2 linked regions of the Mus musculus genome follow. The protein of the gene in region 1 interacts with the protein of each later gene in a pairwise test. Links are inferred from orthologs where the notes say so. Each region holds a gene or a part of one and is shown on either strand. Other genes may lie near its edges.

The links.
Region 2: the proteins of Golga2 (region 1) and Nebl interact in binary tests that used the Homo sapiens proteins (3 or more experiments, as listed by UniProt). The two-hybrid records come from large-scale screens. The link is inferred for Mus musculus from reciprocal best matches to the Homo sapiens genes GOLGA2 and NEBL.

Annotation. Positions count from the first base shown.
Region 1 is NC_000068.7:32,303,215-32,309,995, forward strand, and holds the end of Golga2 (golgin subfamily A member 2), read left to right. Parts: coding exon 1-18; intron 19-369; coding exon 370-707; intron 708-927; coding exon 928-1,041; intron 1,042-1,419; coding exon 1,420-1,665; intron 1,666-1,744; coding exon 1,745-1,820; intron 1,821-1,995; coding exon 1,996-2,081; intron 2,082-2,260; coding exon 2,261-2,479; intron 2,480-2,558; coding exon 2,559-2,661; intron 2,662-2,762; coding exon 2,763-2,869; intron 2,870-2,945; coding exon 2,946-3,102; intron 3,103-3,191; coding exon 3,192-3,406; 3' UTR 3,407-4,699; downstream 4,700-6,781. Other genes in the region: Dnm1 (dynamin-1), read right to left, coding at 6,351-6,423. UniProt on the Homo sapiens protein: Peripheral membrane component of the cis-Golgi stack that acts as a membrane skeleton that maintains the structure of the Golgi apparatus, and as a vesicle thether that facilitates vesicle fusion to the Golgi membrane.
Region 2 is NC_000068.7:17,458,443-17,466,174, forward strand, and holds the start of Nebl (nebulette), read right to left. Parts: upstream 4,415-7,732; 5' UTR 4,225-4,414; intron 2,104-4,224; 5' UTR 2,097-2,103; coding exon 2,016-2,096; intron 1,915-2,015; coding exon 1,843-1,914; intron 1-1,842. UniProt on the Homo sapiens protein: Binds to actin and plays an important role in the assembly of the Z-disk. May functionally link sarcomeric actin to the desmin intermediate filaments in the heart muscle sarcomeres.

The DNA of each region.
Region 1 (6,781 bases):
CACTCCGGAGTCAGATGGGTGAGTAGCGCAAGGGTGACCTGAGAGCGGGAGTGGCTCAAAGGCCAGTGGCTTCCATAGCCCTGGGGGCAAGGGGGTGTGAGAGCATTGTAATGGGGCAAAAGGTCTCTGTCAGGACTGACCAGGTGACACGCCTTGTCATCTCTTATGTCCCTCTGTGTAAAACAGGGTGGCATGCCTACTGCTATACCTCTGCAGGTGACTGAGCACCACAGAACTATACTAGAGTAGCTTGACACACTTAGCTCATCTGAGACCCTGACAGAAAAGAAGCCAGAGCTTGGGGCAGGGAGCCTGACTCCCAGTAGAGCCAAGAGAGGACCCCCTCACTGTGCCTACTTCCTTTCTCAGAGGAGCCACCGCCTCCAGAGCCTCCAGCTGGGCCCTCCGAGGCGGAAGAGCAGCTGCAGGGAGAGGTCGAGCAGCTGCACAAGGAACTGGAGAGGCTGACGGGACAGCTACGGGCTCAGGTGCAGGACAATGAGAGCCTGAGCCACCTCAACCGGGAGCAGGAGGGGCGTCTGCTGGAGCTGGAGCGGGAGGCCCAGCGCTGGAGCGAGCAGGCCGAGGAGCGCAAGCAGATCCTGGAGAGCATGCAGAGTGACCGCACCACCATCAGCAGAGCACTGTCACAGAACCGAGAGCTGAAGGAGCAGCTGGCCGAGCTGCAGAACGGCTTCGTCAGGCTGGTGCGAATCCTGCAGGCCCTCCTTGCTCACAGGGAATGTAACCCTCAAGGGTGCTGTCCACCTCACATGAGGTGCTAGCTGTCAAAGCACCTCTCAATCCAGAGACCTGTGGTGTGTGGGAATGATCCAGCAGTCTTCCCTGCTCTGTGGGAGGGAGCACACATGCAATTCTGGGGACCCCTGCCACATTAGGTCCTACTGACTGCTGCCTTCTGTCCAGACCAATGAGAACATGGAGATCACCAGTGCGCTGCAGTCAGAGCAGCATGTCAAGAAAGAGCTAGCCCGGAAGCTGGGAGAGCTGCAGGAGAGACTGGGAGAGCTGAAGGAGACGGTAAGGCCTACCACGGGGGGTGCCAGTCATAACAGTCTAACTGCAGCCTGGAGCAGGCAGTCCTGGACTGCTCTTCATCTGTGCCAAGGCCAGAAGCTGCTGTTTATAGTTGTAGGTTATATAAGGCTCTGGGCTCAGGCTGGGTTCACATCCATGTGTTCAAATGCTTCCCATCTCCAAACCCATTCACTGAACTTAAAAGATGAGTTTCCTCAGAGAAGTGTTAAAGGTTAAATGAGAAATGTGCATAAAATATCAGGCACTAGTAGTTAGTGCAGAACAGGGTGGGTTGCTTTCCACTCTTGGCCTAAAGTGATGAGAAAGGTGGGTGTGAGGCTGGTTACAAAGGCACTGCCCTCATTCCTGGCCGTCCTGCAGGTGGAGCTCAAGAGCCAAGAAGCACAGGGTCTACAGGAGCAGCGAGACCAGTGCCTGTCCCACCTGCAGCAGTACGCTGCTGCTTACCAACAGCACTTGGCGGCCTATGAGCAGCTGACCTCTGAGAAGGAGGCAATACACAAGCAGCTTCTGCTGCAGACTCAGCTCATGGACCAGCTGCAGCATGAGGAGGTACAGGGCAAGATGGCAGCCGAGCTGGCCCGCCAGGAGCTGCAGGAGGCCCAGGTGAGGCAGCTGTTAAGGCTGGGCCCAGGGGGAGGACCTGGCCTCCTCTGTGCCTTCTCACTCTTTCCTGGCCCCATAGGAGCGCCTAAAAGCTACCAGCCAGGAGAACCAACAGCTCCAAGCCCAGCTGAGCCTCTTGGTCCTCCCTGGGGAAGGTAAGACCACCCAGGAGGAGAGGACTAGAGTTGATGTATTTGGAGAAGCTTTGATTGGGCTGACCCCAGGGTATTCAGTAGGGATACAGAGGTGGGGCTCTGAGCTCTCTTCCCCTAGCCCACTCAGTCTACCTGATGGGATTATTAGAGGAGACAACCTACTGTCTGCCCCCAGGAGATGTGGACCAGGAGGAAGAAGATGAGGAGGTTCCTCAGTCGAGTCTGGCCATCCCAGAAGACCTAGACAGTAGAGAGGCCATGGTGAGCTGGGCTCTGTCTTGCCCCTTCTCTTTTCTACCTCTGTGGTCCTCGGTTTCCTACCCTCTGACTTCTTTTGATTGCCACTTTGTGCCTGGAAGCCAGTGGTCAGTCTCCCTCTCTGCCCTGCCCCCTTTGTCCTGAGCATTTCCCTGAAAGGCACACCTCCCTCTTGTGTGCAGGTGGCATTCTTTAATGCCGCTATAGCCAGAGCAGAGGAAGAACAGGCCCGACTACGTGTGCAGCTGAAAGAGCAGAAGGCACGTTGCCGGAGTTTGTCTCACTTGGCAGCCCCAGTCCAAAGCAAGCTTGAAAAGGAGGCAGTGGTCCCCAGGAATGTGGATGACTCTGCATCTGAGGAGAGCAATCAGGCCCTACATGTAGCCATGGAGAAGCTGCAGGTGAGTTTGTCTGTGGGGGCTGGGAGTGTGGGGGCCAGCCAGGGCTCCTGAGTCCCTGAGACCTCTGTCTTGGCTCCAGAGCCGCTTCCTGGAGGTCATGCAGGAGAAAGTGGAGCTCAAGGAGAGGGTAGAGGAGCTTGAACATTGCTGCATTCAGCTTTCTGGAGAGACAGACACCATTGGTGAGGTGGAGCCCAGCCCAAGGCAGTGGGGGCTGTGCAGGGGGGTAGACTGGGGGAGCCACAGTGTCTGAGCCTTGTCCACCTGCCTGCCGTCTCCACAGGAGAGTACATTGCCCTTTACCAAAATCAGAGGGCGGTGCTGAAGGCTCGGCATTTGGAGAAGGAAGAATACATCAGCCGGCTGGCTCAGGACAAGGAGGAGATGAAGGTAGGCCTACACTTCTGTAGTCCAGGCCCTGCCTAATCTGGGCTGGGCCCTTCAAGTTGAGCTCCTTTTTCTCCAGGTGAAGCTGCTGGAGCTCCAGGAGCTGGTGTTGAGGCTTGTGAACGAGCGCAATGAATGGCAGGGCAAGTTCCTGGCCGTCTCTCAGAACCCTGGTGACGTGCTCACCCCAGTGCCCACAGGCTCCCAGGAATTTGGTGCTGCTGACCAGCAGGATGGTGAGTAGAGCTGTTGTCTCTTGGGAAGGCACAAAGGGGAGGAGTCCCATGGCGTGCAGAGCCATGACCCCCTCCCCCTTTCTCTAAAGACCTCAGGGAGGTGAGCCTGGCTGACGATATAGAGCCTGCACAAGGAGAGGCAGGGGTACCTGCTCCCCATGAGAACCCTACTGCACAGCAGATCATGCAGCTGCTGCGTGAGATCCAGAACCCCCGGGAGCGGCCAGGCCTGGGTAGCAACCCTTGCATCCCCTTTTTCTACCGTGCCGATGAGAACGACGAGGTGAAGATCATGGTTGTATAAAAGACTGGCGGCCAAAGCCTCAGCAAGGGCAGCCAGAGGTTCTGCCCCAACCCACACCCTTCCTCAGCCACCCTTATCTTTATAATAATAATAAGGTCAGACTCCATCCCCTCCAGGGGCTGGGGAAGTAGCTCAGTTGGTAGAGTGCTTGCCTGCTGTGCACACAGCCTTGGGTCCCCAGTACCTCTGAAAAGGCTGATACCTGTAATTTGAGTGCTTGGGAAGTGGAGGTGGAAGAATCAGCCATCCTCATCTACCTAGTGAGTTTGAGGCCACACTGGGCTACATGCGACCCTGTCTGAAAAAACCAAAAGATCAGGCTCCTATCTTAATGGGGGACACAGACTGGTACAGATCTGCCTCTTAGCCAGGGCAGTTTTACTTTGTAAATTCCTGTTACAGAAAGAACGCCAGAGACTCAGTGATGGAGCAGACTGTGCTGGGTGGCCTGGGGGCTTTCTCACCAAGGAGGGCCTCAGGCCTTACTCAGGACTCTGGGGCAGAACAGAGTGGCAGCATTCTCGTGCCCAGGTGCAGTGCAGGCTGGTAAACTGGCCTAGCATTCAGCAGGGCTTCTAAGTTTTCACCGGCTCAGTCCTCCCTATCCTCCTTTTCCTCCCCGCCCCCATTTTATCTTCATTTTCTTTACGGAGTGTCTCCTGTAGCCCGAGCTGAGCCCCTGCCTCACCGCTGTGCCTGGTGGTTGGCAGTGCTAAGCAGGCACTCTACCAAGTGATTTACCCCCAGCACTCCCTGCCTTTTTCCTTTGTGTGGTGATGCTGGGGATGGAACCCAGGGCACAGCAGGTCCCCAGATCAACTCCCATCTTCTCAGAGGCACTTTAGGGCAGTGGGGCTGGGCAGCACTTCATGGGTCCTCAGGCAGTTGGGGCTAACTGCCTCAGGAAGGCATCCCACTTTGGAGGGCTTCCATCTTTTTGAGGCACTTTGGGACAGGGAAAGTGGGTACCATTCTCTCAGGCCTTATGACAATTGGGGTAACTACGCCAAGCAGGACAGAGGCTGCTGGGGCAGGGTGGCCTTCCCCTCCCCCGGTGTACATATTGTACCTGTGTACTATTTTGTATATACCGGGGTAGGGACACCCCTGTATCATAGTGGAGGTTGGAGCTGGCAAATGGGAAGAGCTTCTAATAATCACTTTGGGCTGGGAACCTTATTTATTGGTAGTGTTAGGTCAGAGGGCAGGAGGCGGAGACAAGGTTGTGGCACCTGCTGATGCAGCTCCTCTTTATTTTGCTTTTTACTTGGGAAATAAATGGATTTAGCCATACTGCTGGGCCTAGGGTGTTCGTCATTGGTTCTGGGGTTAGCCTCAGGCTGGCACTGAGCAGGGAATGTGTCCTGCCTGGAGAGAGCAGGCTTCTGGCCTGTATGGAGCCCAAGGTCTGAAGTGCCTGGCAGGGCTGATTGACACCTATCACCTATACACTGCCTATTGAAGCCTAGGGACCCCAGGGGGAGTACCATGGGGCTACAGGGACAGAGCTTCCTTACTGAGTAAGAGAGTCAAGCCTGACATATAGTATACATAGGTGGGACTCGGGGTGCAGCAACTAAGGGCGCTGACTTCCAGGCCAGGCCTCTTACATTCCGACCCTTCCCCTTAGTCTGTCCACACTAGAGACCTGTTTTGTTCTTTAGGCTGTTCACAGCATCCTGGCTGAGCTCATGATACTGCCCCCTAGTGGTGTAAGCAGGATTCGTAGGATGAGGACCTGCTAAACTCACAAGCACCCTAGCAAGGGCCTTTCCTCACCCTCCATTCAGTGCCCAGTTTACACCGTCCTCTCAGCCCCAGAGAATACAAACCAGCAGAGGTACACGCAATTCCCCATGATCCAGAAATGGGTTTTATTCTCAGCCAAGAGACAGCAAGACTGGTGGCTACCAGAGAACTGCACAGCTGCTGCTGCTGCAGCATCCCCTTGCTGCAGGGTTGGGATGGCCAAGGGGATGGCTGTTCACAGGCCAGGAGGACAGGGGGGCTCACTGGAGGTGGTACACTGGAGGGGGGGTTGTCAGGATGACAGCGTTCCCTTGTTGGACCACAAGACTCCACAAGGACAGCATGGTGGTTGATTCTGACACTACAGGCGAGGCTGTGTCAGCCATATATATGTATATATATGTATATATAGGTATATTTATAGATATTTATAGAATGTCGCAGGAGCAATACCACAGAGGGGCACAAGTTTTCACCAACATCACATCTGGATGTGTCAGCTCACCACTACAACAGACTAAGTCACAGATGATGAATAGGACGCTTTGGGGCCGGGGGAGCCACTGTCAAGTCACAGAACAGCTGTCCAGGCAGGCTTGGTAAGGGAGGTCTCCGAGGAGTAGGAGGGATCTGGTTAGAGGTCGAAGGGGGGCCTGGGGCTCTCAGGACGGGACGGACTTGCCTGACCCGATCGGCTGGCAGTTGGAGAGAAAGCCGAGAGAGAACGGAAGAGAGAAAAGGAAGGAGAGCTGGTAAGGCAAGAGCAGCCACCTCCAGCAGAGGCAGGGGCTGAGGCAGGTGTGGATGTGGGCAGGGTTCCCGGAAGAGATGCACAGTTGATGAATGAAAGGGAAGATGGGGTGCTGGGCCGTAACTAGCAGGTAGTCTGAGTAGAGGCTGGTGGCCCTCTCTTGCCACACACACGGCCTCTCACACACCACCCAGGCAATGCACCACAGGGCCTCCCTCATTTTTGCTCACTGTCTCTCATCTCACTGGCTCAGGGCCACCCCAAGCCTCAGGGAGTCCCATGTAACAGCCATGAGGCCAGAAGTGCTTGAACCAGGAGATTGAAGCTAAAGGGGATGGCTGGAGGGAGCGCTGGAGGCCCCTCAGGTGGTCAGAAAGTCAGGAGTCCTCTGAGGGGACCCTGGGGAGGCTGGGAGGCAGGCAGCCGATGCCTGCGGCCACAGACTTATAAGTCTAAGAGGGGAGCCTCCGTTGGTCGGGGGGCTGCAGGTCTCGTAGGTGAGGCTGGGCCCTTCCTGCTGGGGAAAAGCAGAAGGGTGAGCGTCAATGGCTGGGGAAGAGTTGGGACAGGGTAACCGAGATCTGTGGCCAGCCAGGCAGAACTCAAGTTGACTTTCCCAGTCAGTAGACAATGCATTGCCTTCGGCTAAAAGGCACAGGTCACTCTGAAAACAGGTCAAATGTTGGAGCTGATGGGCTGGCTCTATGTCGGGGGCTGACGAGGTGGCTGTTAGCTACAGGTGTGCAATGTCAAGGATGAATGAGATCCTCACCTTGCCTGCGAGCCCTCAGGCGCTGGCAGAAAGGCAAAGGCTCTTAAGTTGTCTAAAGTCACCAGTCAGAGCCTGGCTTTGCCAGCGCGATTCTCATGCTTGC
Region 2 (7,732 bases), about 15 Mb from region 1:
TGAGCACATATCCAGTCATGAATTAAGGGACAATAATCATATTCTAAATACTTAAGTAGTCCAGACATTCCACCATGAAACATAAATCTACAATAAACAGAGATCTCTCCCATGTGCTTGATCTCACCTAAAGAAGAGAGAATGTGTGGTGCTGGCAGTCACCGAGTATAAAAAGCCATTGTGCCTCCCTACAAGAAGGTTCCTAAGTCACCAATAATAATCCTCCCCCAAACACTCCAATATATCACCTGCCGAATTAGAGCTGCAGCCCAGCAATAACTACACTTCAGTGAAAACATACCAGAGTGGGAAGAGGCAGCACCTTCAAGCTGCCTCTAAATGGTGACATGGCTGTCACTAAGTAGATGTGTGAGGGAGTAACAAGCTTTGCATGGGTATTCACTCTGAGAAGCAACAGTGGAGTAAAGTGAAATGGCGGACGTGGGGCGGGGGGAGGAGGGCGATGAATAAGAGTCCCACCCTGACAATCAACAACACCTGGCATGTGGTGCTCAATACATCTTAACTGCCACTGGTGTCAAGATCATAATTATCACAGCCAATGTCTTATTATTGCAGTTTACAAAACATATTTCACATGCTAAGCAACTTCTGGTTATAACTAAGCAATAACACAAATAAATAAATAATTCAAAGTTGAATTATGTAACATGTTATGCCAAGAATTTGGGAAGAAGTATGCCCATTTTTATCTACTACAAAGTTGGTCAAAAGATAAAAAAGTTACCGATAGAGTAACTTAGGGTAGCTATCCCTTATCAGTCACCACAGTGTTTTGAAGAGTAACTGCAGCATTTTTTATGTACATCTCATCTTAACTATAATCATTATACTTGAAGAGCTAAATCCACCAGCATCAATAATATTTCCAAGGTTATTGTCGAGTTGACTCTAGCAAGTTGGCCTTGGAGAACTGACCAAAGTATTACGCTACTGCCTAGGAAACAAACTTGCAAATTACAAAGAACAGTTGCAGCCAGTTTTGTGCTCAGCTCCCTGAATTCAGATACAAACACACTTCATTTCATAGAGCTCCATGTTTTTTAAGCCAGTAGTTCTCTTACATTGTTTATGAGTATTTGGTGGGTTCTCATACCAAGTAAGAAATAGTCTTGCTTATAAATTTAGAATTCTAGTTTATAAATTTATCATGTATGTGGATGTGTTTACATTAAATAACTCTAGGATTTCATTTGGAATAGCATATAAACTAGCTTTAGTTCCTAAAAACAAAATTTTTTTAATGATATTATCATGTGAACCAGTGTTTGCAGTGTACAATTCCATTAACACATACACACACACATACACACACACACACATACACACACATACACACACTATATTGCAAAGAAATGTTAGATGCAATTAAAAGCAAATGGAAAAGTATTGACTTTGACAGAAACTTCAAATGGCCTTCAGAATGTTAAGTACTATTCATTTAGATAAAGGCCTTCCATATTGAAAGTCATTCACTTAGAGATCCTTCCAAGACAAATGATATCGTTCTGCTAATTTTAAAGTCTTGGGGGTTCTCAAACATGAGCTTGATAACACAACACCATAAAACATAGTATGACTACACAACCCGGAAGAGACAGAATCTGGATTAGGAATGAGGACAATTATTCCATTAGACAATCACTGTCTATATGACCTTGGTGAAATCACCTAACATGTCTGGACTTAGTTCTATGATCTAGAAAATGACAGTGCTCTAACTGGTAACCTCGGGAGTTTTCTCTCCAGCCCCATGACTCTACAACACAGCCATTCCACGTAAAGGAAGCAAATAAGATAAAAGTCTTTAAAGCCACTTACGTCACTAATGAGCTCGGTGCACTTTCTGGCCAGTTCCATGCTGAGGTCTTCAATAACAGGTTTCAGAGACACCTATGTGAAAATTAAAAAGAAAGAGGGAGGGAGAAGGTCTGATTTTCCCTTATCTGTTAAAGGACAGAGTTCTGTGCTTAAGTGAGTTCTTTCTTGCTCACCTTGGCTTCCTGGTTTTCTTCCTGCTCCACATTTTCCTCCTCAGTTTCCTCTTTTACATCCCCGGATACAGGTACCTTCATCTTTACCCTATGAAGATATTAATGCTTTCAAACTGTGTCTTCTCAGGAACTACCACACCCGTGAGCTACCAAGTCTCTGGGGCACTGGAAGCAAAGGCTTGCCAGACTTTATCCCTGGCTCATGTCACTCCTTATCTCAATGGTGTGTCAGTGAACACCCAGGAGCCTCAGGGTCTGCCAGGCCCAGCCTCACAAGTGAAAACTCTCTCCTAAGTCAAAGCTCAACTTTACAAACTTAAAATCAACATTCTTAGGATAGCATAGGAAACCCAAGACAAAATGGTTTTTTTTTATCTTCTACTAATGAATTTTAAATCAATTAATCAATTAATTTTAAAAATTGTTTTAAAGGGACTTGACAATTCTAGAAATCTACTCAGCTATAACACCTAAGATAGCACCGGCCTAAAGCCTTTATCCCAAAGATATCTCAACTTGGTCTAAATAAAGCCTCCTCTGGAATGTCAGTCATTCTGTTTCCATATAGAGACTCCGTACCATACAAATTTATTTCATTAACTTAAATTAAATGTTTTATGAGGTTTTAGTGTACTTCTCACATCCCCCAAAACTACTCACTTCATATTAGCTGATTAGAGGCTAATAATTTATTACAAAAAGCCCTTTGAACCACTTCAAAGAATCTATTCTGAGTTAATTACAACTGCTAATCTCAAATTAGGGAATACTGTACCATATTAATCGTAAACATCATTAAACATGAGAAGTTGAAGTTAATATATGTTGATATATTATTTAAGACTTCAGGAAACATCGCTGCATTGGAAATAATTATGCTCTGCATTTTTGTCATTGTGTGAATTTTCACTAACTCACTAGTATCTTTTATAGTCTCACTGTATCCCACACTTGGAAAACTAAGAAATTACATTACCATATTTGTTGTGTAGACTATCTTACTAGTTCAATAATTAAGAAAACTCTTCTAAATAAATCCTTTATTGTCGATTTAAGCAATTCTAAGAATCTCTCATTCCTGATGTGTTAATTTGGCTGTTTAAATTTTAAGGTAAAATTGCTTTTTATAAAAGTATTGCATATCAGTGATCAGTGTTAGAAAAACACCCCATGGTGACTAATTAAATTAATTACATAAAATAGAGCTTTATCCAAAATAATACTTCATTCCTACATAGCCAAATATATTTTGATATCATCTTGTTTTCAATTTATTTTTAATAACTTGTAAAATATTTTTAATTTAAAAAAACACCCTGAAGTTAAGAAGATCTAATGTCTATATATCCCATTGAACATCTATGAAGGTAGAATAGTGATTCTGAAGTTGTGGAGCTAGTTTCATGTTACATTTTATATAGTCTTAACTATTGAATATCTATCTCTGTACACGTCCTTATCAGTTTTTAAAAGAAAAATGCCCCAGCCTTATCTAATAAGTCATTCGAATTCTGAACATCCATCAAAAACCATACTGTTTCTCACATGCTTTTCCAAAAGGCAAAACTGTACCACAAAAAAAGGTTGATAAGGCAAAAAACAATGACCTAAAACAAATCTCTTCAAGAAACCTATAAAGAAATTTCTATAGTTGTCAGGATGAGTGTTACACACCACAGTGACACATGCAGAGACCTGTGATGACCGTCAATCAAAAGCCCTACCCAACTTACTAAATCTTTCCCTTCTAAAAGAAGAATCCTGTCTGCCTCCTGTTTCCACATCTATTCTGCCTACTATTGTCTCTTAATGGCATCCAGTGCCCTCTGTGAAATGTGACTTAGGAAAACATTGTTACGTCTGACTAACTTCTTCATGATTTGCTGGCTTTCTCATTAAACAGTTTTGAATAGAGGTCAAATTAAGGGTATCACAGACCCCACTTAACCAGCAAAATGCCAGAAAGGAACTGTCCCCGGAATGCTAAATTGGGAAACTTTGAGATAACAGCCATGTCGTCCCTCACGTCTACTGGAATTCTTTTCGTTTGTTATAAACTTGTCCTGTAAGGAGAATTTGCAATCTATAAGTTTCCCTCATGTCCTCTCCCTAAGGCTGTCTTTTGCTTCTGTAGAGGCTCCTCTGTGCTACCTTCAGGAAGGAAATGCTTTCTACGGAGGAATAATTTCTAAAAACTTTTCTTGCAAACCTTCAGAAGTACATAGGAAAAAATATCCCAACGCTGTCCAAGATGAACCTCTTAGCTTCCACTTCAGATGACAATGCTCATGTTGCTTTGGGTGATGTCTGTTTCCATAGTGAATGGCGTGCCTGAGGCTTAAGCAGGATTTCTTCTCATCTTCAATCTTGCTGTGAGTTCTTAATGGTTCTTCGCTGGGCTGCAATAAAATAATCAGTTAACCTTTAATGCACAAAAGTTTCAAAGACACACCAAACACCACACATAATATGAACATATTTTTTCTTTTAAGAGGTCAGAATCAGAATTTTAAAGTCACATTACTAAAATCTTTAAAGCTTGCATTTCCAGCCAATTTAGGAGATGGGAGCAAAGCAATCACAACTTCAAGCCCAGCCCAAGCTACAGAGAGAGCTTCATCCCAACCTGGACAACTTAGCAAGACCATGTCTTAAATAAACATAAAAAGATGGCTAGGAACACAGCTGGCTTATTACCAAGTTTGCTTGCTTCTATGCAAGGCCTTCTGTTGGGCCCCAGTGCTGACAACCATCACAAACCCTCACTTAGAATGCTTTCCTTCAGAGAGGACAAACAGAAGGCTAAGAACAGTGAACTATTTGCTTCCTTTGCAAAACAGTGTGATAGGAACTGCTTAGTACACACTGATGCCTGCTTAGTACACACTGATGTTGTTATGCTGGTTCTACACCAGGATAAGGAGATCCAGTAGTAAGTAGCACATACCCTGGCAGGAAAAAAATCACCTCAAAACTTGCTGAGTGAACTCTTTAATGGACTTTCTGGCAAGCCACATACACCATTACTTTTGATTTAGTGTGTCTTCTTTTCATTTGCATAAGAAGATAGTATAAAAGTCATGTCAAATTTCCTCTATATTTTTTAAGCCCTGATTTTATCAGTCAAGCTTTTCTGTCAATAGGTATAAACTCTGACTTGGGGAATTTGTTAGAAAAGGGTCCTTAGTGGGCAGTTATTACGTTTCAAAAATACCTATCCTTTTTCGTAAATCCTAGTGTAAGTTTAATGTTGTATTATCATAAATTACAATTGAGTTCTGAGCTGAGATGGGAGATACCAGAAAATATGATGCCTCAGACCATGGGATGCTTTAGATTACAGACACTGGGGAATCAGCAGAATCTGGAAAGAGCTCTTCTTTGAAAATTCTTTATTTACACAAAGGCTGCTTCTACCAAAAGCGAACATAGTGGGCTTCTACCATGTTATTTCATCAACCAAGAAGAGGAAACCAAACACCCAAAGCCGAAACAAACTTTGTCTCAGTCTGTTGTCTTTCTGAGTCTATATCTCACCACCCCCTCCCCCAGTAAATCATTTATTCTTCCCTAAAATTGCCTCCATCTTGACTCAATACTTTCTCCCATATGAAGATATAATATGAAGGGGTATATAAGCCTTTAAACCCCATTTTCTTATTGGGCCCTCACAGTCATACAAAAGAAGTCAATGGCTTTAACTATCTGAATATACCCTTTAACCAGAGCCAGAGAGCCAGGCAGGATCAAACATCTTGATTACTACACAAAAAGGAAGATGTATATGTATGTGTATGTGTATGTATAATGTGTGTGTGTACAAACACGTATGTATGTATGTATGTATGTATGTATGCATGCATGTATCCCTTTCCTAAAGTTTTATGTGGAATGTACTAAGAATGGTTGTGACCAATCCCTGACACTATTAATGATACTCTGTTATGCTTTCAGACAGAAAAATGCTGTCCTCTGAGAGGCTCCACACAGGAGCTAACTCAGATACAGACACCAATAGCCAAACAGTGAATGGAGCTTGTGGACTTTTATAGAAGAATAGGAGGAAGGATTGTGGGCCCCAAAGGGGATGAGAACTCCACAGGAAGACCAACAGAATCAACCAACCTGGACCCTTGGGGCTCTCAGGGTCTAGACTGAACTACCAACCAAAGAGCATACACAGGCTGGACCTAGGCCTCTTCGCACATATATCACATATAAGCAGTTTGGTCTTCATGTGGGTCCTCAACAAGTAGAGAAGGGACTATTCCAAAAGCTGTTTCATGTATGTGGGATATGTTCTAGCTGGGCTACCTTGTTTGTCCTCAGTGGGAGAGGAAGCACCTAGCCTTGCAGAGATTTGATGTGCTGGGGTAGGGGGATACCCAAGGGTTGCCCCTGCTCAGAGGAGAATGGGAGAGGAAGGGGGAAGGAGGAAAGGCTGTGGGAGAGGGTGACCTGGAGGGGAGCAGTGAAGGAATGGATAGTGTATATATAAAAAATAAAATAAAATAAATTTAAAAATAGAATAGTTGTGAAAGACTTTGACACTGACATAAAAAATTTGAGTATCTTATCAAATGCTTCTTTGTAACTATATTGTCCTTTGACTGTCTTTAAGCTATGCTGTAATTCTTCATGCTGAAAAAATGATAATAATCTAATCTTTAGGAGTGTAAATTATATCTTAGAGGACACAATTGATTATTGGCTCTGCATCCAGTTTTAAATTCATTTCAGCATTCCTTCCTATTTATGTATCTATGAAGGCCATTCACTTTGAACCAACTGCAACATCTTACCAGTCCCCTCATTTACTGAAATATTTGAGAAGCACTTATTTTGTATTTTATAAGAATCACATATTTTTAAAAATATATCACTTAACAGTTATGAATCTTTTCATTTCTTTAACATTTAGCAGAACAATAAAGAACAGGGGACTCAGTGGAGAGCGGGCTCTCAGTTATGAAGCATCCCTACGACAATGCTTAGCATGAGTTGTCATAACCAGCCTCTCATTTTGGGTTGTTTTCAAGTCTAACTTTGTTTTATTATTGACAAGTGCTATATGCATGCGTGTATGTACATTCACACATACCGCAAACACTATATACACACTCAGGCAGAGTTAATTCACTCCAGCTGCCAGTTCCTGTCTGAAAAGCAAAAATGGCTCCAATAAATGCAAAGATTTAATTATTTCTCACATCTGGAAAAACTTGAACATGAAAATGGATTTATTGAAGAAGCTCTTGGTTGGCTGTCAACACCCCATTCAGAGCCAGAGAGAGAGAGAGAGAACAGGCTTAATCACTGTTGGCAATTCTTTAACGCACTCAGAAATAGATGGCATGCCAGTTAGTTTGTAACACGGTTTGTTTACAGGACTTCTGAGTTTTATGGAAGCACAGTAAAATAAATAATTCCATAGTCACTCATGTAAAAGAAACTGTTCCTCATGTTGGGTCTGGAGGACGTTGTACATCAATCCTCGAAAACAGGATGAAGTCCTCCTATGCAAAAACAGAGAGGCAGCCTTGAGGGAAGCACTTTGAGATCAGCTGTTAGAACAATGTTACACAAACATGGGAAAACTAGATGATGCAGCACTTTTGGGAGGAAGTGTGAACTAGGAAAAGGAGGTAGGAAAGTTATGTGAGTGCAGAGTGAGGTGACTTCACAGAAACAAGGGAAAAACTGGATCCATCCCAGGA